2 linked regions of the Struthio camelus genome follow. The protein of the gene in region 1 interacts with the protein of each later gene in a biochemical or structural test. Links are inferred from orthologs where the notes say so. Each region holds a gene or a part of one and is shown on either strand. Other genes may lie near its edges.

What was found.
Region 2: of the proteins of TRIM28 (region 1) and SIRT1, one has a biochemical effect on the other in vitro, tested with the Homo sapiens proteins (2 studies listed by BioGRID). The link is inferred for Struthio camelus from reciprocal best matches to the Homo sapiens genes TRIM28 and SIRT1.

Annotation. Positions count from the first base shown.
Region 1 is NC_090975.1:271,857-282,937, reverse strand, and holds the start of TRIM28 (transcription intermediary factor 1-beta), read right to left. Parts: upstream 6,709-11,081; 5' UTR 6,684-6,708; coding exon 6,476-6,683; intron 3,186-6,475; coding exon 3,073-3,185; intron 2,556-3,072; coding exon 2,423-2,555; intron 2,204-2,422; coding exon 2,068-2,203; intron 535-2,067; coding exon 418-534; intron 329-417; coding exon 214-328; intron 88-213; coding exon 1-87. Other genes in the region: ZNF324B (zinc finger protein 324B), read right to left, coding at 10,208-10,768. UniProt on the Homo sapiens protein: Nuclear corepressor for KRAB domain-containing zinc finger proteins (KRAB-ZFPs).
Region 2 is NC_090948.1:38,568,250-38,579,915, forward strand, and holds the start of SIRT1 (NAD-dependent protein deacetylase sirtuin-1), read left to right. Parts: upstream 1-7,362; 5' UTR 7,363-7,382; coding exon 7,383-7,869; intron 7,870-10,318; coding exon 10,319-10,435; intron 10,436-11,666. Other genes in the region: DNAJC12 (dnaJ homolog subfamily C member 12), read right to left, coding at 1,158-1,235. UniProt on the Homo sapiens protein: NAD-dependent protein deacetylase that links transcriptional regulation directly to intracellular energetics and participates in the coordination of several separated cellular functions such as cell cycle, response to DNA damage, metabolism, apoptosis and autophagy.

The sequences.
Region 1 (11,081 bases):
GCGGAGGATGTGCTCCTGGTGCCGCTGCAGCTTGGTCATGGCCCAGTGCTGCCGCTCCAATTTCTCCTGCTGCCCCTCCGTCACCTTCTGCAAGGAGAGGAAACACAACCACCATCAGCGAGGACAGACCAGGACATAACGGATGCTGTTAGGGGGACACAGCTGCTCCCCAAGACCCCAGAGCGCAGACACGAGGTAAGAGGAGAAGCTCACCTGAGCGTCGCTCACCAGCACCTTGCCACGCTTGTTCAGCTCCTTCATGATCTGGAGGATGGCCATCTTCACGTCCACCTGCACCCGCTTCTGCACATCCGTCACCTGGCGGATGCTGCCGGCAGAGAAGGCCAACGGTGAGGGGGGCCGGATGCTCTTCGCTGGGGGCAAATCCCCCTGCCCGGGGCAGGTGGGGGTACGTACGAGCTGCGCACTTCCTTGGTGGAGCGCTGCAAGCTGGCGTGTTTGTCGCCCAGGCGCTTCACCAGCGTCGCCAGCATCTTGCGCTGGTTCCTCACCGCGTCCTCCAGGAACTGGTACCTGCAGGGGGGGGAAATGGGGTCAGCGGCGGTCCCCAAAACACCAGGATGGCCTTGTCCACACTGATCCACATCCCCCTAACACAACCGTTGGGGGTCCCAGAAATAATCTCGCAGACTTAACTCCAGGGCTCACCAGAGTAGCAAATCTACTTTAGTTAGTTAACCTGCTCACTGCTGAGCTCACCTTCTTCATTAAGCTAGTTAAGCCATTAAAAACAAAAAAAGCCATCAAAAAAGCCACTTAAAACCTAAAAGCTATTAAGCCATTAAAATAAATAAAATCAATATGGGTTAAACAGCTGGCAGAACTAAGCAGCTGGTCAAGCTAACAAAATCCATTAATCACCTACTAAAAATCAATTTCACTCAAATGAGCTGCCTATCTTTATCAGTCAAGTTTCATATTAAATCCATTTTTAATGGCCAATTAGTCAGACAACCAATCAAACTATCAGCCATTAAAAGATAACCAGATAAGCAGCTAACTAACCACATTTATCAGTTACAATTCAAACAATCATAAAAAAAGGCGAGCTAACTTGATGACTACCGATTCAGAAATCAATCATATTTTAAATGAATTTTAGTAAACAACAAATGAGAAAACTAACGGAACATTTTACCCACTAAAATTCAGGATATTTAAACTAATCACTTAAAAAAATGAAATGACTTTTACAGCTTCATCAGCTAAATAATCAGTAAGAAACACTTAAACTGATTTTTAAGGAATGACTAACAGTTACATAACTAAGCAATCTAATTATCAGTTAAAACCATCAAGCTTTACCTGGTTAATTAGGTGATTAATTAGAATGCGCAAACTTTACTCTTATGATAAAAACAAGTCATAGTAATAACTAATGCAACTTATTAGGCAAATTAGACGACTAAACAAGCAGCTTATTAGTCAGTTCACATTTTAATCTGAGATTTTTAAACAGTTTTATCCATTAAAATCAGTCTGAAAAATAATTAGTTAAAAATTAAATAATTTAATACATTAGCAAAAGATTTGTTAGATTTTTAATGGATAATTAATCACAGTCCAATTGACTGAAAACTAAAACCAACTTAAAAACTAAAATTGATCAGCTTGCTAACTAAACAGATAATTAACCAGATATTACATAACTAAGTTATCTATTGGACAAAATTCAGTTGATTAAAGATTTATTTTTTTAAATTGCTAGCTAACAAAGTTAAACTGATCGGCTAGCCAGCTAGTTACTTAGTTGTTTGACTTTTCTTAGTCATTCCTTAAAATTCAGTCTAAAAATCAACTAAAATCAACTAATTCAAAATTAATTAAAAGCAGGCCCTGGCAAGTTACAGAACACATAGGCCACAGAATCAAATTTTCATTGATAATCAGACTTTGATCAGTTATCTGACTTGACATAAATCAACATATTGCATCAGTGATCTAACTTACTATCTCTTCAAGTGATTCATTAGCCGTGAAAAATCAATTTGGTTGTATTTAGTCAGGACGCTAATTAGCAAGTGGACGGGCTTGCCAATCACTCACTGGTGATCCTTGTGCGCGTTGAGCTGGCAGTCGCGGCAGGTGAGCGTGTCGCACGTGTCGCAGAAGAGCACCAGCGGCTCATGCTTGTGCACGGCGCAGTACACGGCGCGCTCGCCCTCCTTCGCCTTGGAGCCACCTGCGTGGGGAAACGTGGCACGACATCACCACGATGTCACCGTGACGCCACCGACCCCCGCCACCTCGTTGCGGGATGGCTACAACTGCTGCGGTGGCCCTAACTGCTGCGGTGGCCCTTCTGGAGGCACACAGGGACCACCCCAACCCCGCTCAACGTCCCTCCACGTCCCCGTCCTCCCAAAAGCTGGCATGTCCTGGCGCGGTGACAGCAACGGACCTGTGGCTCGGACTGTGTGGTCCTTGGTATACTTGACCCGCTGGTGGGCCTCCACGCACGTCTCGCACAGCGGCTCCGAGCACTCCACGCAGTAGCTGGTGGCCGGCGCGTTGTCCTCACAGCTGGTGCAGCACTAGGGGACAAGGATCCGTGGGGTGACATGTGTGTGGGGCTCGGAAACACACGTGTGGGACCTGGCCTGCCCCAAATCCTCGGCTGCAGGGATTCTCTCGCATCTCGTACGGAGGCTGTACTCACACTTCCACCTCTCCCCAGCGACTAGGAGCTCATTTTGGCCACGTTATTTCAGACCTGTTTTATCACGTCATCACATTATTTATTGGACGAACAATTTAGTTTCAGTTTTGCCCAGCTTGTGCAATGCATGCCCCAAAAAAAGGCATGATTAACCCTTGAACCACTGGGGAAGGAGGAAGGACAACCCAATATAACTGGATTATTACCAATTAGTTAATTCAGGCTATCAGCATTGTCGTGGCAGGGATAAAAATAATGCGTTGTCTTAATAACAGCACCCAAACACAACAGACCAAGGAGGTCCCTGAGGAGCGGCTAGGACAGGCGCTACGAGCTTGGCCCCCCCTCATCGAGGAGCTCCGCATCAACGCCTGGCCGGCACGGGGCCTTACCTGGTTCAAGTCCTTGTTGTCGGCAGCCGCCTCAGCCCCGCTGTCCCTCAGGAAGTAGTTTTCCACGATGTCCTTCAGGTTACACTGGTGCTTGCAGATGGGGCAGTCGACCACTGTGGGGAGGGAAGCGGTGGGGTGGGTGCGGGGAAGGTACGAGAAGCAGCCCCTAACCCCTGCTGTGTTTTGCCCCGATTGGGGCGTTTTGCTCCGGTCGTGGCGTTTCGCCCCTCCAGACTCCCCTGGAGGCGGCCAAGGGACCTGCGCAACGCCTCATCCCCTTTTCACCCTCCGAAGCCTCCTGCAAGGAGGTGGCAGCGGCCAGGCTGGGACAAAGCAGCTCCGCGGCGGCAGAGATGGGTCGCCGGGGCTGACCGAGAAGCCCAGCCTGGAGGCAACCTCTCCCACGAGTTTTTTGGCAGCAGAGCCCATCCAATGGAAGGCGAGAAGGAAGAACCCGGAGCAGCCGGGAAGATGCCCTGGATATCTGACCGCTGAGCTAAGAAACCCTCAAAAATGGGATGGCTGTCGAGGCCAAGCTGAAAACTTCACTCCGAAACCAAACTTTTCATGCAGAAGCATGCTCTGGGTGCCCCGTCACGCCAGGAGATCCAAAGAGGACTCGTCAGCACTGATTTTGGCTGCACGGGACCTCTGCGGGTCCTTGCTCCAATCTGAGCCCAATGCAGGACCAGTACAGACCAGGTTCCGCATAGGATGCATACCTCCACGGATGGAGACTCACCAGGACCCATTCCTGCTTGGGGCAGGGCAGAGGGGACCTTGCTGGTCCAACCCCAGGCCAAAACGGGTCCACCTGGATCAGGTCCCTCATGGTCACACGCAAACCTTGAAGACCTCTAAAGACAGAGGCCCACCACATCCCTGGGTCTCTCCCCAGCTGACCTCACCGGGGCAGGAGGGTCGGGGCTTCCAGGGGTTCCTGCACCAACCTCAACCAAAGCAGGACCATTGCCAACACCGCACTAGGTCGCTGACAGCTTCACCTAGCCAAACCTCTAAGGACGGAAACCCACAACTGCTCTGGTCCCCTCCAGACAAAGAACTTTCTCCAGATGCCCAACTTGAACCTCCTCAACCAGAAGCCACATCAGGCACCCCTCGCCGCCTCCCCCAGCTCTGCCACCAACAGCCAAGCAGCCACCGGTCTACCCTTCCTCCTCCTCTTCCTCTCCAGGGCTTTGAGAAAGGGTAAGCCACCTGCGACCGTTGAGATACCATCTACCACAGGTGGCAGCGAGAGGAAGCAGCGCTTCTGATCTCTCCAGAAACTTCTCTGCCTGGCAGATGCCAAGGCAAGGGGAAAGAAAAGAATGGGGCTCCAGGACTGGGGTGAGAAACCTCCATAGAGGCGACCACGAGCAACGCCAAGCTCTGCCACGAGCGGGACAACACCACGCTGGGAAGGACCCAGGCATCCGGGCAAGGCCAACAGGGCCACAGGGCAGTTGGGAGCTTCCTGGTACAAGCCGGTGTCAAACTGGGATGAGGCCAGCAGAAGCCACCAAGCACAGCACGTTCAGGGAGCGGCCAAGGGAGCTGGTGAAAGGGGACCTAAAGGTCCACCCGACATCCCAAACCACCTCCGGAAACACGGACCAGCTTTCTGGGAAGAGCTCATTGGTGTTGGAGCCCTCAGGGAACCCAAGGGCATCAAGAGCACCCATCTACTCCTCCGTTGCCCGGCTTAGCACCCGCGCGAGCCTCGCACGCCCACCCTGCCTCACCCCAGCGCCCTCGCGCCGCCTACGCCCCCCCCCCCGCCGCCCCTTCCTGACCTGCGGACGGCTGCAGGGCCCGGCCCGCGCACCCCTCCCCGGCTGGCCTGGCCCCTGCTGCCGCTCGCAGGCAACCTTCCCCCCCCCCCACCCCGGCACAGCCCAGCGCAACGTTTTCCCCTTGCATAACCCCCCTCCGGCAGTACCGTGGGGCCTCGCCGCCCCCCCCCACCCCCCATTACCCCAGGGCCTCGCCCCCCCCCCCTCGCACCCGTTACCCCGGGGCCTCGCCGCCCCCCCTCTCGCCCCCCGTTACCCCAGGGCCTCGCCTCGCCGCCCCCCCTCTCACCCCCGTCGACCTGGGCCTTTGCAGTCTTCCCCCCCCCCCCACGTTAGCCCAGGCCCTCGCCACCCCCTCTCACCCCCCGTCGACCCGGGGCCTCACCGCCCCCCCCCTCACCCCCCATTACCCCAGACCCTCATCGCTCCCCACCCCAGTTAGCCCAGGCCCTCATCGCTCCCCACCCCAGTTAGCCCAGGCTCTCATCGCCCCCCCCCCCCCAGTTAGCCCGGGGCCTGGCCACCCCCTCCTCGCCCCCGTTATTCCGGGGCCTCACTGCTCCCCCACCCCACCCCATTAGCCGGGGGCCTCGCCGCCCCCCCACCCATATTAGCCTGGGCCTTTGTAGTCCTCCCCCCCCCCGTTAGCCCGGGCCCTCACCGCCCCCCCCCCGGTTACCCAGGGGCCTCGCCACCCCCCCCCCCGGTTAGCCCGGGCCCTCGCCACCCCCCCCCGCAGTTACCCAGGGGCCTCGCCACCCCCCCCCCGGTTAGCCCGGGCCCTCGCCACCCCCCCCCGCAGTTACCCAGGGGCCTCGCCGCCCCCCCCCGGTTAGCCCGGGCCCTCACCGCCCCCCCCTCGGTTACCCAGGGGCCTCGCCACCCCCCCCCCGGTTAGCCCGGGCCCTCACTGCCCCCCCCCCCGGTTACCCAGGGGCCTCGCCACCCCCCCCCCGGTTAGCCCGGGCCCTCACTGCCCCCCCCCGGTTACCCAGGGGCCTCGCCACCCCCCCCCCGGTTAGCCCGGGCCCTCACTACCCCCCCCGGTTACCCAGGGGCCTCGCCGCCCCCCCCCCCCCGCTTACCCAGGGGCCTCGGCGCCCCCCCTCCAGTTAGCCCGGGCCCTCACTGCCCCCCCCCCCGGTTACCCAGGGGCCTCGCCACCCCCCCCCCGGTTAGCCCGGGCCCTCGCCGCCCCCCCCCCCGGTTACCCAGGGGCCTCACCGCCCCCCCCCGGTTAGCCCGGGCTCTCGACGCCCCCCCCCGGTTACCCAGGGGCCTCACCGCCCCCCCCCCCGCAGTTACCCAGGGGCCTCAACCCCCCCCCCCAGTTAGCCCGGGCCCTCACTGCCCCCCCCCTGGTTACCCAGGGGCCTCACCGCCCCCCCCCGGTTAGCCCGGGCTCTCGACGCCCCCCCCCGGTTACCCAGGGGCCTCACCGCCCCCCCCCGGTTAGCCCGGGCTCTCGACGCCCCCCCCCGGTTACCCAGGGGCCTCACCGCCCCCCCCCGGTTAGCCCGGGCTCTCGACGCCCCCCCCCGGTTACCCAGGGGCCTCGCCGCCCCCACCCCGTGAGCTCGCCTCCCCCCGGTGCCCGCCGCCCCCACCTGGCCCCTCCTTGGCGGCGGCCGGCGGAGCGGCGGGGCCCGGCTCGGCCCGCAGGCAGGGCCGGCAGACGGAGTGGAGGCAGGGCAGCAGCCGCGGCTCCCGCTCGGCCCGCAGCCGCTCCCGGCACACGCCGCAGCGCTCCAGCAGGTCCAGCGAGTCCGAGCGCGCCTCGCCGGGGCCGCCCGCCTCGACCGCCGGCCCCGACATGGCGGCGCCGCCGCCGCCGCTCCCCCCCCCACTCCAGCTCGACCCCCCGCACCGGGGGGGGGGAGGTGGGGGGGGCTCGCGCGCCACGGCGAGCTGCGCGCGCAGCCCGGCTCGGCTCGGCCGCCCGCCTCCGCCAATCAGCGCCCGCGGAGGGGGCGAGGGGGGGCGGGGTCTGCGGGGGAGTGACGGGGCGGTGAGGCAATGGGAGGCGCGCGTTGGCGGGGAAGGCGGGAAAACGGAAAGAGGCGGGAAGGGCCCGCCTGCACGCGACCGCGGAGAGGCGGGGGTTAAAGGGAGACGGGCCAATCAGCTCGCTCAACAGCGCGAGGCAGCAACTGAAGCCCAATAGGCGTCCGGAGAGCGAGGATTGACAGGGCGTGGAGGCCAATCCTCTTCCTCTAAGCGCTTCCCTCCCCCCGCTAGGCTTCCAGGGCGAAAGCTGTCTCAAAGCCCGGAGAGGGGGCAGGCTCTAGACCAATCACCGACCGAATCACCACAGGGAAGGCGGAGTCTTAAAGATGAACGTGGCGCTCAGCCAATCGACAGCCACAGCCCTCCAGGAGGCGGGGCAGTCGCTCTGACTGACACCTTGTTGAGCCAATCATCTTCTAAAATACCTTACGGGGGGGGCTCCTCCCCGATCCAGAGTCACTCCGGTTTGCCTCTGGTGGCCAGGAGGGAGTAATGGCGGGAGTGGCTCCGGGGTGGGGCGGCCCGAGGGCAAAGTCGATGGCTGTGGCTAGGGCAGGGCTCTCACGGGGCAGGGCCTGGGTCTGGATGTGTGTTGGGCCTGGGCCCGGGCCCGGGCCCGGGCATGATGTGGGCCTAGGCCCTGGCTTGGGGCTTGGGGCTTGGACCTGGATCTGGGCCTGGCCATGATGTGGGCCTAGGCCCTGGCTTGGGGCTTGGGGCTTGGGCCTGGATCTGGGCCTGGCCATGATGTGGGCCTAGGCCCTGGCTTGGGGCTTGGGGCTTGGGCCTGGATCTGGGCCTGGCCACGATGTGGGCCCAGGCCTAGGCCCTGGCTTGGGGCTTGGGGCTTGGACCTGGATCTGGGCCTGGCCACGATGTGGGCCTAGGCCCTGGCTTGGGGCTTGGGGCTTGGACCTGGATCTGGGCCTGGCCATGATGTGGGCCTAGGCCCTGGCTTGGGGCTTGGGGCTTGGGGCTTGGGCCTGGATCTGGGCCTGGATCTGGGCCTGGCCACGATGTGGGCCTAGGCCTAGGCCCTGGCTTGGGGCTTGGGGCTTGGACCTGGATCTGGGCCTGGCCATGATGTGGGCCTAGGCCCTGGCTTGGGGCTTGGGGCTTGGGGCTTGGGCCTGGATCTGGGCCTGGCCACGATGTGGGCCCAGGCCTAGGCCCTGGCTTGGGGCTTGGGGCTTGGGCCTGGATCTGGGCCTGGCCACGATGTGGGCCCAGGCCTAGGCCCTGGCTTGGGGCTTGGGGCTTGGACCTGGATCTGGGCCTGGCCACGATGTGGGCCTAGGCCCTGGCTTGGGGCTTGGGGCTTGGACCTGGATCTGGGCCTGGCCATGATGTGGGCCTAGGCCCTGGCTTGGGGCTTGGGGCTTGGGGCTTGGGCCTGGATCTGGGCCTGGATCTGGGCCTGGCCACGATGTGGGCCTAGGCCTAGGCCCTGGCTTGGGGCTTGGGGCTTGGACCTGGATCTGGGCCTGGCCATGATGTGGGCCTAGGCCCTGGCTTGGGGCTTGGGGCTTGGGGCTTGGGGCTTGGGCCTGGATCTGGGCCTGGCCATGATGTGGGCCCAGGCCTAGGCCCTGGCTTGGGGCTTGGGACCTGGGTCAGGGCTGGGACATGGGCCTGGGCCTGGATTTGGGCCTGAGGCTGGGTCTGAGGCTGGATGTGAGCCTAGTCGTGAGCGTGGACAAGATCTTCATCCTGGGGCTGGGTGTGGACGTGGTCTTGGACATGGGCAGGCGCCTGGGCCTGGGTCTAACCCTGGATCTGGGCCTGGACGTGGCCCTGGGCCTGAATCTGGTCATGGATGTGGGCCTGCATCTGGGCTTGGACATAGACAAGAGCCCGGGCCTTGGCCCAAGTGTGGGAATGGGTTTGGGCCCCGGTCAGGGCTTTGGCCTAGGCCTGGATGTGGGCTTAGACCTGAACCTGGGCCTTGCCGGGTCCGGATGCCCAGTGTCCCCCCACAATCACTGCAAGCCTCGCCTGGCCCCGCTGGGCAGGGAGAAGCCCTCGGACCTGGCCGGCCGTGCACAGGACAGCCCCCGGGCGACTCCCTCAGCCTCTGTTCCCACCCTGGCAACCCCGGAAGGCGACTAGCCCGGGGCAAACAGCCTCCCTCGGGCGCTGTTCACAAACCAGGGCGCCCATCGGCTCCCTCTACCCACCTAATTCTGCCCCGCTTTCGCTTCTCAATCATTTTAACGCCTTCTTTTACCCACAGAGAAGACATTGGGGGGTCTCTAAAGGAGCTTTGAGTCCTCAAAGCTGCTCCGCCGCAGCCAAGGGTCACCCCCGGCAAAGTCTTGTCTGCTCCCGTCCTCCCTCGCACCCCGAGAGCGATGTTTTCGGGATCCCAGGGGCCGAGCGAGCGACCGGGCGTGGATGTGGGACCGGCCCCGAGGAGGAGAGCGGAGGCTGTGAGGCCGTTCCCGGCGGGGAGAGAGACGACACCCCGAGCTAAAGATAAGGACGCTGGAAATTCATATGGAAAATTCACACAAAAATCACAAAAAACAAAAAGAAAAACCACCAAAACCCGGCTCAGGAGGGGGCTGTCTTGAGAAAGAGCGAGAAATGCTCCGGGAAGGCCGCTCAGGAGAGAACCGTCTCGAGACCTTCGCTCAGGCGGCACCGGACGACGACGAGCGTCGGCCGCGGGTGCTTCGCTCCGGAGAGACGCGACAGGAGGACGCGGCAGGGAAGAGCTCGCCCCGCCGCGCCGCCGGTACCACCCGGAAAAACCGCCGAGGCGACTGTCTTAAAAAAAGTCTCTCGCCTCCTGGTTTTCCTGGCGGCCACCGGCACGAGGCAACGCCGACCTCGACTTCCTCGAGCCGGAGTCTTCCTCGAGTCTTCCTCCAGCGGGGCCGGCGAGAAAGCGGGGAGCCCTTCGGAGAGGCTGAGCGCAGTGAGTCCCGGAGGGGCTAAGACGCCTTTGGGTGGCGGAGGGGACGCTCCGCCGCTAAATCAGGAGCTTCCTCGCGCGGAGACGAGAAACCGGTTGGATGAGCCCCGCTGGAGAGCTACTGAGATGGTGCTGAGCGAAAAGCCTCGATTTTTGCCCCGATCCCGGGACTCCGGGAGGCTTTACGGAAGGGAAACAGAAAGGGTTTTCCCCCACCGGTCGACGGCAGGGCAGAAGGGTGAGTCCGAATACCCCCCCGCAGCGGTGGGGCGGGGGGGGAAAAAACCAGCACGGGGCAGCCCGGACGGAGGCAACGGGCCCGGGAAGGGGCGCTGGGTTTTCTCCCTCCCTTCTTCGCCCCCGGCGAAAAAGAGCGGAGAAGGAGGGGGGAAAAAAAGGAGCGCGGGGCGGGCGTCTAGGCGCGGTGGGTGCGCTGGTGCCGCAGGAGGTGGGCGGCGGCGGCGAAGGCCTTGCCGCAGCCGGCGCACTTGTGGGGCCGCTCGCCGGTGTGGGTGGCGCGGTGGCGGGTGAGGTGGGCGGCGCGGGCGAAGCTCTTGCCGCAGTCGCCGCAGGCGAAGGGCCGCTCGCCCGTGTGGGTGAGGCGGTGGCGGGTGAGGTGGGCGGCGCGGGTGAAGGCTTTGCCGCAGAGGCCGCAGGCGAAGGGCCGCTCGCCCGTGTGGGTGCCGCGGTGGCGGGTGAGGTGGGCGCTGCGGCGGAAGGCTTTGCCGCAGCAGCCGCAGCGGTAGGGCCGCTCGCCCGAGTGGGTCTCGCGGTGGCGGGCCAGGTGGGCGCTGCGCCCGAAGGCTTTGCCGCAGCGCTCGCAAGCGTAAGGCCGCGGCGGCGGCGGTGCCGGCGGCGTGCCGGCGCGCTCCGGGCCCGGCCCGCCGCCTCCGTGCGTGCCCAGGTGCCGCGTCAGGTGGGAGCTCCAGCGGAAACCTTTGCCGCAGTACGGGCACGCGTTGGGCTTCTCGCCCATGGCGCCGGCGCCTCCTCGGGCCTGGGCGAGGAGAGAGCGGCACAAACTGGGGTTACTGGGCTGCCTGCGGTTGGCCCTGCGTTCCCCTCCCTCCTCGCGCTGCCCCGAAGGACCCAGGTTTCGGCCCCGCCGCTGGCTTTTGTCCCCTTAGTCCAGTTTCCTCCCTGATACCCAGTTTCGTCCCTGCTGCCGAATTTCACCTGCGCCGCCCGAATTCGTCCCCGGGGCTGGCTTTTGTCCCCGCTCCCCCCCCCCCGTTTTGTCCCCGCTCCCCCCCCCCGTTTTGTCCCCGCTCCCCCCCCCGTTTTGTCCC
Region 2 (11,666 bases), on another chromosome or scaffold:
GTAACAGCCACCATCTGTCAGCTGCACTGCTTATTTAAATTTCGTTTTCCACGCACTCATCCTTTTCTTCTTCTTTGGGAACTGCAGCCGCCAGGGTGCTGACAACCACCGTTCACTTTAACACTGCCCTCTGCTGGGGCGTCCTATGAGAAGTTACCACAGGAAAAGCTGTAATTTGCTTTCTGGCACGGATGCTTACTAACGTGCTTTCTATGTTAGAAAAGACAGAGGTATTCTCCCCGCATTTAACCGTTAGGACAGCTGAGAACACCTGATTATATTTACCGAACAAAAGATAGCTTTTATCCACACTTAGTACAGCATTCATTATTGCAGAGTAATTGAAACTGTCCAAAATCCAAACCCAGTCCCACTGAACATAGCAGCTGGATTAAAAATATTAGTATACCACTAACTCTTGACTATCCAAAAAATGTTGTAAGTGTTATATGGTCATCTTTAGGAAGAAGAACGTTTATTTTAGCTACAAATCATTCAACAGTTGCTTAGATAGATCTCATCCTAAAGTAAGAAATGTATGTATCTGCTACCAAAACAAATTAGTAGAACTAGTATTTGAAAGTATCATTAAAATGAGCATTTACAATAATTAATATGATGAATAACAAAAAGATTATTTTTGTGTTTTTCCTCACAACCAATTAATACATTTTTTAAAAAAGAATATGTACATATATGTTATATAAATATATTTTTAACTGAATACCGTTACCAGTTATCTACAGCTATGAACATTAATTGCATTAGTAACACATATATAGCTTTTGTCATCTTTTAAAACCATGACTATATTCCAAAATGTTATTTTCATGCAGTTGGCTCATAATACGTAACCATATCACATGTTGAATGAAACTAATGAATAAACCATCATTTCAGTTGCATCAATAACAAAATTCTGTTTTATAAAATATTTTTCATATGAGCCTTATTCTAGGATCTTAACACGGCCAGTAAATGGAGCTTTGCAATGAGGAAATACTAAAAGATAAAAGTGGCAAGAAAGAAGGTTCGTGACGTATGTCAAATAGTCCTACCTGTAGGGATAACGGACTTCAGATCCCCCCCCCCCCCGTAGGAAGACAAGCGCCCTCAAAATACCTTTAACCTGGAGAGGAGGCAGGGAGGACTCTTACCGTGGACAGCTCATCACACCCCAGCAAGTTGTAGTAATCTTCCAAGTCATCCGGGCTGTAGGTCAAAATCGCATCCATCTGGGTGAGCCCGGTGGCCTTCCTCAAGCTGAGGCACTGGGGATGTAGAATATGAGAACCAATGCAAAGCTCACAGACTGCTTTAAAAGTAGCCAAGGGAAATAAGCTATTTCCACTCCGGTCTACAGCTCTCTCCAGTGCTTTTTAACAGAGGGAGCTGAGACACATGAAGTCTCGGGAACTGCTCTCCATTGGCCCCTGCAGGATGCCAATCCGGTTGCACAAGCCTGCTGATGGCAATGCTCCCTGGGACTTGTAGTTGCCAAAGTAATTGCAACATTAAACTCTGGCTCTGGTACCGACTGGAAAGAATTCAGGATACTAAGTAAAATCTAGCTGTATTTGAGACTTCAGTCCTGCCACCATGCATACATCCACTTAAAATCAGGCGCACACTTAAAAGGCTTGCCTGCACCGGGACCCACATGTATTAAAATATATATTCTGCTTAATTTTCAGTTGTAACTTCTGCCTCAACTTTTGACAAGGGGATTATATAGATAATTATAGAAAAGAGTGCGGATTACTTCAAAAACAATGATCATAAGGCTGCAAAGTTCTGTGGATGAAGCCCTGGCCTTGCCAAAGCCCCCAAGACTTCTGTCCGTCACTGCAAGAGAGCAGGATGAATCTTTAGTTTTTGAAGACTACTACATAGGACACAAAGGTAATTTATTCTTCAGAAACAAATTCATCGTTTTTGTACATCAATTTTGTGTCTGACAAAGTTCAGACTATGAAAATAAAATACTTGTTTTCTGTTATCAAAAGAAATATTTTTCTCATGTACAATTACTTTCAAATTCTGTCTTGAAGGTCTTTATCGTGCGTGTAGTAAACATGCCTTGTAAAACTCATTTCACATTGAAGTGAAATGCCTGAAGTTTGAGCAGTGATTAATGATCAAGGCCTCGGTCACATAGAGACTACTGATATGATTTACTGTACTTTCCTATGATCCGTGGATTTAAACAAAAAAAAAAAAAATTCCTAGGTGTAATACCAGCCATTCACTAAAGCCTTTCCCCTGGAGCCTACGGAGCACTCTTGTTTCCCTCCGTCCCTGCCAGAGCTTTGTAATGCAAGGTGTTTAAGGTCATTAAATAGTGCTTATTCTTTAAAAACACTACTTACCAATTTATATCTTGAATATTTAATCAATTTTAGATGCAGTGACCTAGTAAGTCACTAGTAAGTGAGTGTCAATGTGGAACAGATGCACAGGGTGTAACTGTGGCTAGACTAGCTGTATGTTAATCAGGGAGAACCTAGTGGCAATTCCAAATATTTTTGTATTTACAACTGCTTTATTTTTATTACTGTTTTATGATATATATTATTAATCTTTTAAAATTGTCTATTAGCCTTCCACTGCTTTCTCTTTAACACAGAAGGCTGTACTGTCTGAAATTTTCTATTTTACTGTACATTCAGATAGTCTATTAAGATAGTAAAATATATAAAGTACACAAAAGAGCCTATAATATATAATTAAGTATTTAAAGTATTAATTAAAATTGTGTATTTTATTAAACAACAAAGCACAAAGCTCAGTGGAACGATTTAAATCTGCTAGAAATCATAATTATCATATTTCTCAGAGCAGATAAAACAGCTAATCTATTTTTTTCAACAAAGTAGAAGAATTAACAATTACAAATCTTTCCCACTCCCCCATTTCTAACAAACCATAAAAGCATAATAGAAAAAATAAAGCCTTTTAGCAAGAGATCGTGTAAATATTTAAGTAGATTGTACTTGGGGGAGGACAAAAAACAAACAGCTGTCCCTGTTCCCCTGCCGCACTTCTGACATACCGTTCTCGTCCAAGTATTTCTCGCATATTTGCGTAAGGTGAAAGGGAAGGATCTTTAACCCTATTTTCCTCCAGATTTTGGTAGCTATTTTTGTGCTGCAAGGTGAACTGCAGATCCAAGAGCAGGATTCAGCAGACTAAACCCTGAGACTCGCGAGTTTCTCTTTCACTCTGGTCAGGAAGTGCCATCCAGGAGATTTGTCGGCTGAGGCCCTGGACCCGTCCATAATCCGTCCATTGGGACTGAATAATGAAGAGCTTGACCGGCACTGCCGCAGCGAGCACATTGGAGTTCCCTCCTCCCAAAGCGTTCTCATGCTTGGGACAAAAACACCCCGGTAGCACGGTCTGAAGGTTTGAACGTGGATGACAGCTAAATCTGAACTGGAGAAGGCTCAAAACAATGCGTAACTACCAGCGTATGCACGTTCACCTGGAATGAACAAACCAGCCCCTTATTATCAGTTTAGTTTGCATTATTAATAGAAAAAACATGAATCCAAATGTCATCACCTTTACCGATACTGAACAGTAACTCAACCTATTACTACTCCTACTGATCTCAGCAGGACAACCCACAGGGCAAGGCATCTTTGGAAAGGAGGGTAAGAGAACCTGCATACAATACACAGGAAAAAATACAATGATTGTTCTCAAGACATAAACTTTATGCCAAAGAGAATCAGGGTGCAGGAGATGGCACAGTCTGTGTGTACCTGCGTTTTGCTTGGTGTTGCTCAGAACGTACAAACAGTGCAGAGCGTGAGGAAATCTGATGTTTGTTCTCTGTACCAACCACAAACAAAATGTTTCTATTCACTTGTAACGTATTATCCACAATTTTGCTGGCTTTGAGTCATTTACAAGTGAAATAACATGACACCAAAGCTTGCTTCAGCATAACAGAAGGTTTGCCATCAACTTACAGAAGTCCAAAATGGCCCTTTAAATAAATCAGCAAAATCTGTAAATCCGTATTTTGAATCGATTAGGTGGGAATTTATTCCCATAAAATGCATGAAGTTCTTCCAGTATCAGTTCTTCTCAATTGACTTTGGTTGTTTTGCTTCCTGAGGACAAAGAGTATACATTTTCACAAAGTTCCAGGCACAGTATCACTGAGCTTTGCGTTTCATGCTCTGGCCTTGTCCCAACGCATGCTTAGAGCTGCGGAAACAGGAGAGGACCTGACCTAAGCAGCACTAAACTGGCTTCCCAAGTTAGGGGCAACTACTGCTGTAACACTATTAACACCCATAAATGCTTGCAACATCCGTATCAGCTTTAGGGGCCTTGATTTATTTCCTCACCACTACCTTTTCCGGAAAGCTTTAGATCATGTACTTACTCAGGTGAGATAGTTTCTTCGTTAGAACACTGTCTTCATGTTAATATTGTAATTTTGGTGTGTATTTAAGTCACGCCTCTCCTAGATAGCTGACAAAAGTATCATGCACGTGCTGTTATAATAATCTGAATCTTACCTCAGCTTCACTAAGGATTTAAAGAATGCATACATTCAGATTTGCACAGAATAATAAATGATGCTATGATTCACATTCAGTTACTTCACAGCTTGTTTTTGAGAAATAGTTCCTCAATAAAAGAAATGTAAAGTTTCAGAAATGGTATGTTTTTCCAGGGATTTTGTTGTTAATAACTGGAAGAACTAAAGAAAAAAAAAATAGATTTTTTTTCCTCCTCATAATCACTTATACTGCCTATAAAACCAGTTATATAGAAAACAATTCCTTTGGAAGCCCAAACTAAGTATCAACAGTTTTAACCAAAAGTATAGGGTTTTTGTTTTGTTTTGTTTGTTTGTTTGTTTAAGTTGATGGTATCAAGGCCTGAAAGGGATACATTCTGCCTGCCTAATCTCAGCCTTGCCACTAAACTTAAGGATTTTGTTGTAATAAATTCACTAAAATTATTCTGTAAATAGCTTGTGATATTAAGCAGTGGCACATTAAACCAAACAGTATTTACATTTATATCCATAAAGCTTAGATCAAAACGTTCATGTAGGCAGATAATTATTAGGTAATAAAACCAAAGCAGCTGCAAAAAAATACTTATCCTTTTAAAGTTCAGAGTTGATTTTTCAAAAGCACACTGATTAATATTAGTTCAGTTCAGGAACAAGTAAGCAGATGAAACAATGATGTAAAACCAATGTAGCCAACACTTCACACAGCTGACTGGGGTTATTTCATTCTTTAATTTGTTATTGTGAAAGAGAAAATAAAACAAACAGATATTATACATTTCAGAGCCTATTGACAGAGCAAAAAATACAAGCAAGAGAAATTAAAATATTCTCAGATATCTTTCACATTGGTATTTCAACTGAAATTCAGCAAAGCACAAAAATGAACGAGAACAGCATGTTTTACAAGGGCAGTTCCCTCCACCCCCTCTGTTTCACTTCTACTAAACAAAATTTTACGTGGTCAACAGGGGTCTGCATAATGTTTGAACTGTGTCCAGCCCAACATTTTGATTCCCTAAAATTCCAAATTTCAAATAGTCTATAAAAGCAACAGGATAACAACTACACAGTTGTCTGACCACTACTGTATCTTGCAAGGTGCAGTAAGAAAGATGCCCATGCCAGCGTGAATTGAGTATATTACAAACCTGACAGATGGGGTCAATGCCCCATCTGCAAGGGGAAACAAAGCCAAGGCAGACAAAACCAGAAACCACATGCATAAGCAAAAGTATAAAATTTAAGTAAAAATATTATTGACAATCTATTTGCATCAGCCCAAGCCTGGGGTCAGAAGTCAGCTCTCTGAGCTGCCTGCGTGACGGCCATTTAGTGCCGCTTGGAAATCTGGAAGCCTACTGCACTGTTTAGGGTTGTGGACATCAGAAAGGCCTGGGGAAGTGGCCAAAACCAGTCCAAACAAGACTTCCAAGTAGAAAGAGATAAAATAACCAAAGAAAACGTGGTAGCTCTGTATGCACTATACAATGATGGTCCACAACCAAGCATCAAGGCTTGGTTAGCCTTGATGCCGTTAGAAGGCTGCCTCTATAAGTAATGCTTAAATAACAGAGGTCACTAAAAACACAGATCACCACAGTTGCTAGCGTATGTGCCATGAGGGAACAGGGACATGAAAACGAATGAAATTGTGAATATCACTAGAGCAAACCCCTGCTCTTGCAGTTTACCATCAGGTATCTAGTAAATTGTGTAGGCTTCGCTCTTTAAAACACAAAGTGTTAAGGTAGGTTCTGGAAAACCCACGTGACAAACTTCTTCCAACTCAAGAGTTTAAGCAGCATGGTAATGTTCAAGCATCCCTACCAAAAGCTCAACCAACAGATGCAAAAATCCTTCAGTGCAGTCAGCAGACAAGCTGACTGCCCAAGCAAAGGCTGAAATCCATTAAGTATCTCCCTTTTTATCCTCAGGTCAGCCAGCTCCACGTTTACAGAAAAGCATTTACAGACCTTTCAGTAAAGTTACCTGACAGGCAAATGTACCAAGAGAGAGATCCTTACAAGTTTTTGGGGGCAGGTTTAATCCCACCACCCCAAGACAGCTACAGAGAAATCCAACAGAAGGGATGAAGTCAGTGACAGGAAACACCTTTCCCCACCCCCCCCCTTCAGCAAGACGCATTGCGTATTTCATATCCTCGTTCTAAAGATCATTGTAAAGAAGAGCGAGGGCTTTTTTCCTCTCTCTCTTTTTTTCTTTTGTAAATACTTAACGGGAGAAACAGGTAGACCTACGACGGAAGCCCGGAACCGCCATTTGCCGGGCACTGTCCCACCACAGGCGCCAGCTCCTGCGGCGGACTTCGGGGAGGGGAAACAAACTTCAGGCAGAACTCGGCGCCTCCCTTCTCCCGACCTCGCTCGGGCAACGCACGGGCACCGGACACAGCCCCGGGCCCGGCCGGAGCGACCGTTACGTTCCCCCTCAGCGGCGGCCGCTACGCTCCCCTCAGCGGCGGCGCTCCGCCCCCTCGCGGGCGGGGCTCCGCGCGGCCACGTGACGAGCAACCGCCGTGGCGCGAGGGGTGTGCACGTCGCGGGGGGGGGGGTGCGCGAGGGCTCAGCCGGCACGGGGGTCACGTGCCGCTGGCCGCACCCCCCCCCCCCCCGCCGCGGCCTACCCCCGTCACGTGACCCGGTTTGTTGTTGTTGCGGCCGCGGCGGGGCGGGTGCCCGCGTGGGCGGTGGCGTGGTCACGTGCCGCGTTTAAATCGCTCCCTGGGGGTGGGGGAGGGGGCGGTGGCGCTGCTGCGCGCTGCGCCGGGCGGGAGGGAGGGAGGAGGAGAAGGGGGGGCGGCGGCGGTTGCTACTCCAAGATGGCGGACGGGGAGGCTCCGCTCCTCCAGCCCCGCGGCGGCGGCGGCCCCGGCGGCGCGGCCGAGAGCGCCGAGCCCGCTCCCAAACGCCAGCGCCTCGACTCGGAAGACGGCGGCGGCGGGCGGGGAGCGGCAGCCGCCCAGCACCCGGACCGCGGCGCGGGGCCGGCGCCCGCCGCCGCTGTGACGGCGGAGCTGCCCGGCGCGGCGGCGGCGGCCGTGACCGCCGAGCGCGGCGGCGGCGGCGGCAGCGAGGAGGACGGCGGCGGCGGCGGCGGCGAGGCGGCGGCGGCAGGCTGGAGCGGCGCGGACAATAGGGCCGGGCCGCGGGGCCTGGCCCGGGCGGAGCCGCCTCGGCAGCCGCGGCAGCGGGGCCGGGGGGAGGGGGCGGAGGCGGCGCCCGGCGACGACGCGGCGGCGGCGGCCATTGGCTGCAGGCGGGCGCAGTGTTCAAACGGGGCGGCCGCGGCGCCGGCCCCGCAGCCCGGTGAGCAGCGGCGCGGGGCGGGGCGGGGCGGGGCGCGGCTCTCTCGTGCCGTTAGTCGCGGCCGTTGAGCGCCGGCGGGAGCCGGCGGGCGCCTCTGTCTGCCCGGCCTCGGGCCGGTTTGCTCGCGCCCCTCTGGCCGCTCGTGCCGGGCTTCGGGGCAGGAGGCCGGCTCCGCTCGCGTCTCTGACACCTTCTTTCTCTTTCTTTCTTGTTTTTGTTGTCTGGGAGCTGTGTTTTTGGCAGTAAGGAGTTATTGGAAATGAAAAATCCCGAGCCCCGTTTCCTCCTCACGATTGCTGCTGTGATAACGTATTTGCGCTTGTGCTTCTCAGAAGCGTTTGTGAAAGGGACAGGAGCAGCTGTCTCCACCAGCTCTTGCAGTAAACTCTAGTTACAGCCCTGTCTGCGATGTCAGCGGCCGGAGCGCGAAACTGAACTCTCGGCCTCTAAAAACATGTGCTTTGCAGGCATGCTGTTTGGGCAGTATCTGTACGCAAGGACCTTGAATTTTTTTTTTTAAGGTGGTACTTGGGAGAGACTTCTTAAACAGTAAAAGACGTTGCGTTCTGCCAGTAAGGCCTTTACATGCAGTTAAAGATATTTTTCCTTTAAGCTGAGTGAAGCTCTGCAGACAACTTGTGCTGGTGGCGGAGCTGTGCGGAAGGGAACAGGGGCCGCACGGCATGCGTGGACAGCCCCGTTGCTCCAAAACTTCATTGGAGCAGCAGGAGAGTTGAACTAACGATTCCTTTGTAAACGCCTTGGACGAAGCCTTCTTGCTCAAGTTACTCAAATCCTGGGCATGTTCTGCTTTGTATCAGTTACTTCTGGCAAGAATTGCCTTTATTCCTCTGAGGAATCAAATAACTGCACAGGGAGTGTTACAATTTAAACAGTTACTTTAGCCTGGTTATCACAGCATTTCATAAATACAAGATAATGGGTGACCTTTCTGTGATTTGAGTCTTTTAACAATGTAGCTTTGATTCCTTACATGGTAGACATAGGAGGTAGTTTTACTAAAACTTAACACTTCACATTTACTGATGTGTACTAATCACTTGTTTTCTTTCTTCATAATTGCAATTATGAAGAAAAGAGTTATGAAGAAGTGATTAGCACACATCAGTACTAATGCATGATGAGATGGAATGAAAAACTGCTGCAAGTGTCTGGATTAATAATAAGAAATAGTAAGTGCAGAAGAACAAAACAGCAAATATAAAAGTGCAGTTCTGTCCTCTACTCTTTTTCCATTCCAATCAGAATAAAGTATTAATGCAAATGAGGAAAAGGTGAAGAATGTGACAACGCAGTCTCTGAATAAAAAATAGTGTTCTGTGGTGCTCTTTATTTAAGAGTGAAGTAACCTAGCTGAAACACTATTTTGAAGGTTGAAAACTGCTATAAAGATTCTTTGCTTTGGAGAGGATGACTGTAACTTGTCCTCATTTGGTTATGATCTTGGATTTTTCAACAAATTAAGCTACAGTTGCTGTACCTGTTTTCTAACAAATGGAAAGGACAAACCAAAAGTCTTAGTGGGTAATATTCTGATAAGGTGCTGAGGGTGACATTGACGCTTCCCTCTAACCGTTCCGTCAGTGAGCTTAACGTGTGTTGTGAAACAAGTACCCCTTTCCTCTCTGGGCTCCCTAATCTAGACGCACAGTCGAGTTAGATGGAGTTAACTCTGGCTTGCTTAGGCTCAGCCAGCGGCCTTAGCTCTGTGGTGCTCTTAACCAAACCCTGCTGCAAGGTAAAATGGGTGAGTTGAGTTTCATGCAGATGGTTGAAGACAGCACGTTTTCTGTCATAACTGTAACAGGATAAAAGTGTGTACAGTGTGTACAGGCTTTTATCCTGTTTCAGTTATGACAGCAAATGTGGTCAGCTATTGCAGCTCAGCTGACAGATAGCAGCCCAACAAATGTGTGTAACTCAGCTGTATCTGACTGCGTATTTGTGGGTCTTTTTAGTGTTGTGCTCTTAAAATCTAGTTGACGACTGATCTGTAAATGGTGGTGCATTAATTTAACTGTATTCAGTCTCAGAATGAGAGCTGTGTGAAGTGAAGATTGTAGGAGAAAGGAATTACAATTGTCAGACATTTGGAATTGTTTTAAATAAAATACAAAAAACCGTAGTGCCCAGCACTTTATAGAATGAAAAGTCACTAAGGCCAACATCCAGGCCACTGAAGGCCGGTATTAATATAATAAATCCTGCAGTAATTCTAATAATATCTACAAACTTGAGGGGAAAAAAAAAGGTAAATGTAGGATAGAAATTTTGTCTTTAAATAGCAAAGTTGCCTGTCATACTATTTGTAATTCATTGCAAGTCAACTTTAAAAGTGTACCATTTTAGTTTTTGTGATATATTTAAATATGTACCTGTGCCATTTGGCTCAAGCGTTGTAATATGTCCCTGTTGTGCTGTCTTGCAGATAACTTCCTTTTTAGCGATGAAGTCATAGCCAATGGTTTCCATTCCTGTGACAGTGATGATGATGACAGAGCCTCACATGCAAGTTCTAGTGATTGGACTCCAAGACCACGTATAGGTAGAAACTTATATACCGTTCTTCTAGCTTCAGTTTACTTTTGAAGTGTTACTTAATTCTTCCCAGTCTTCAAAGGATTTATTTTGCTGTTGCAGAAGACTTACAGTTACTGCCTTTTCAGCAGCCTGGAATTGCTGACGGTATTCTGTGTGATGTTTAAGGAGATTAAAAGTGCATCTCTCTAAATTTGCTGTATTGTCATTAAAATTGTCAATAGCTTTTTTGTGCAGAAATCCTGCCCTGATCTACGTTAAAAGTAGGCACACAAACTCACTGCATTGAACAGATTTATGGCATATTTCTAACGTATTTACTTAGCATTATTCATACTTGAAGGAACAAGACACGTTCTTATGTGATTTTAGGCACGTGAGTCTGTAGGGCTTACTGGCCTAAGTGCTATATCACTTTGGGAATTATTAGTTGGCCTAGCTATTGCATTTGTGAAGTTAAGCATGGCAGTTGGGAACTCAGTAGAAAACAGTAGATCTTGCCTTGCACAGAGGTGAGACAAGCGCTGATGAGGTGACTGGTGGCTTGTGTGGGGAAGGGGCTCCCAGGTCCTGCTGGGGTTGGAACTTGAGGTCTTGTGTCTTACACGGGCACGATGGTACTGCAGTGATGACTTTGCCACTCTTGATAAGAATAGCAGCAAGAGAACATCTTAAGGCAATGCAGTATTTCACTGTAAATCTGCCCGTATGTTGCTGATCCCATGTTACAGAATGGGTACATGCAGAATCACTGCATGTACCTTTAGGGTAAACATATGTGATGTTTCTTTTCTTTTAGGTGTATTGTAACTAGCCTTAATGGTAGCTGTTTGGATCCTATTTGTTTGTTTAGCTTCTTAAGGCTTACCTTTTTTTTTTTTTTTCCTTCTTCTACCTCTCTATTCCTGAGCGTTTTTGGAAAGATTGATTTGATAGCTTTAGGAAATCCTGCCTGGAATCATGAGGGGTAGAACAACAAAAAATCCAGTTGTTGGTCAGCCCTATTTGTCCATTTAGAGTGGTGTTTTATAACATGATTAGAAGGTACGCATATGTACGTTGTCTCTTCAACTTATTTGTGTATATATCTTACAAAATATTGGAAAAATACAAAGAATGAAGTAATAAAATGGAGATACTTTGTGAAAATAATGTTTCTAAATATGTGATCTTTTAAGAGTCTCCAAGCGTCCTGCGAACTATAATTTTACCTTGATGAACTTTCTAAGAAGTCCGTC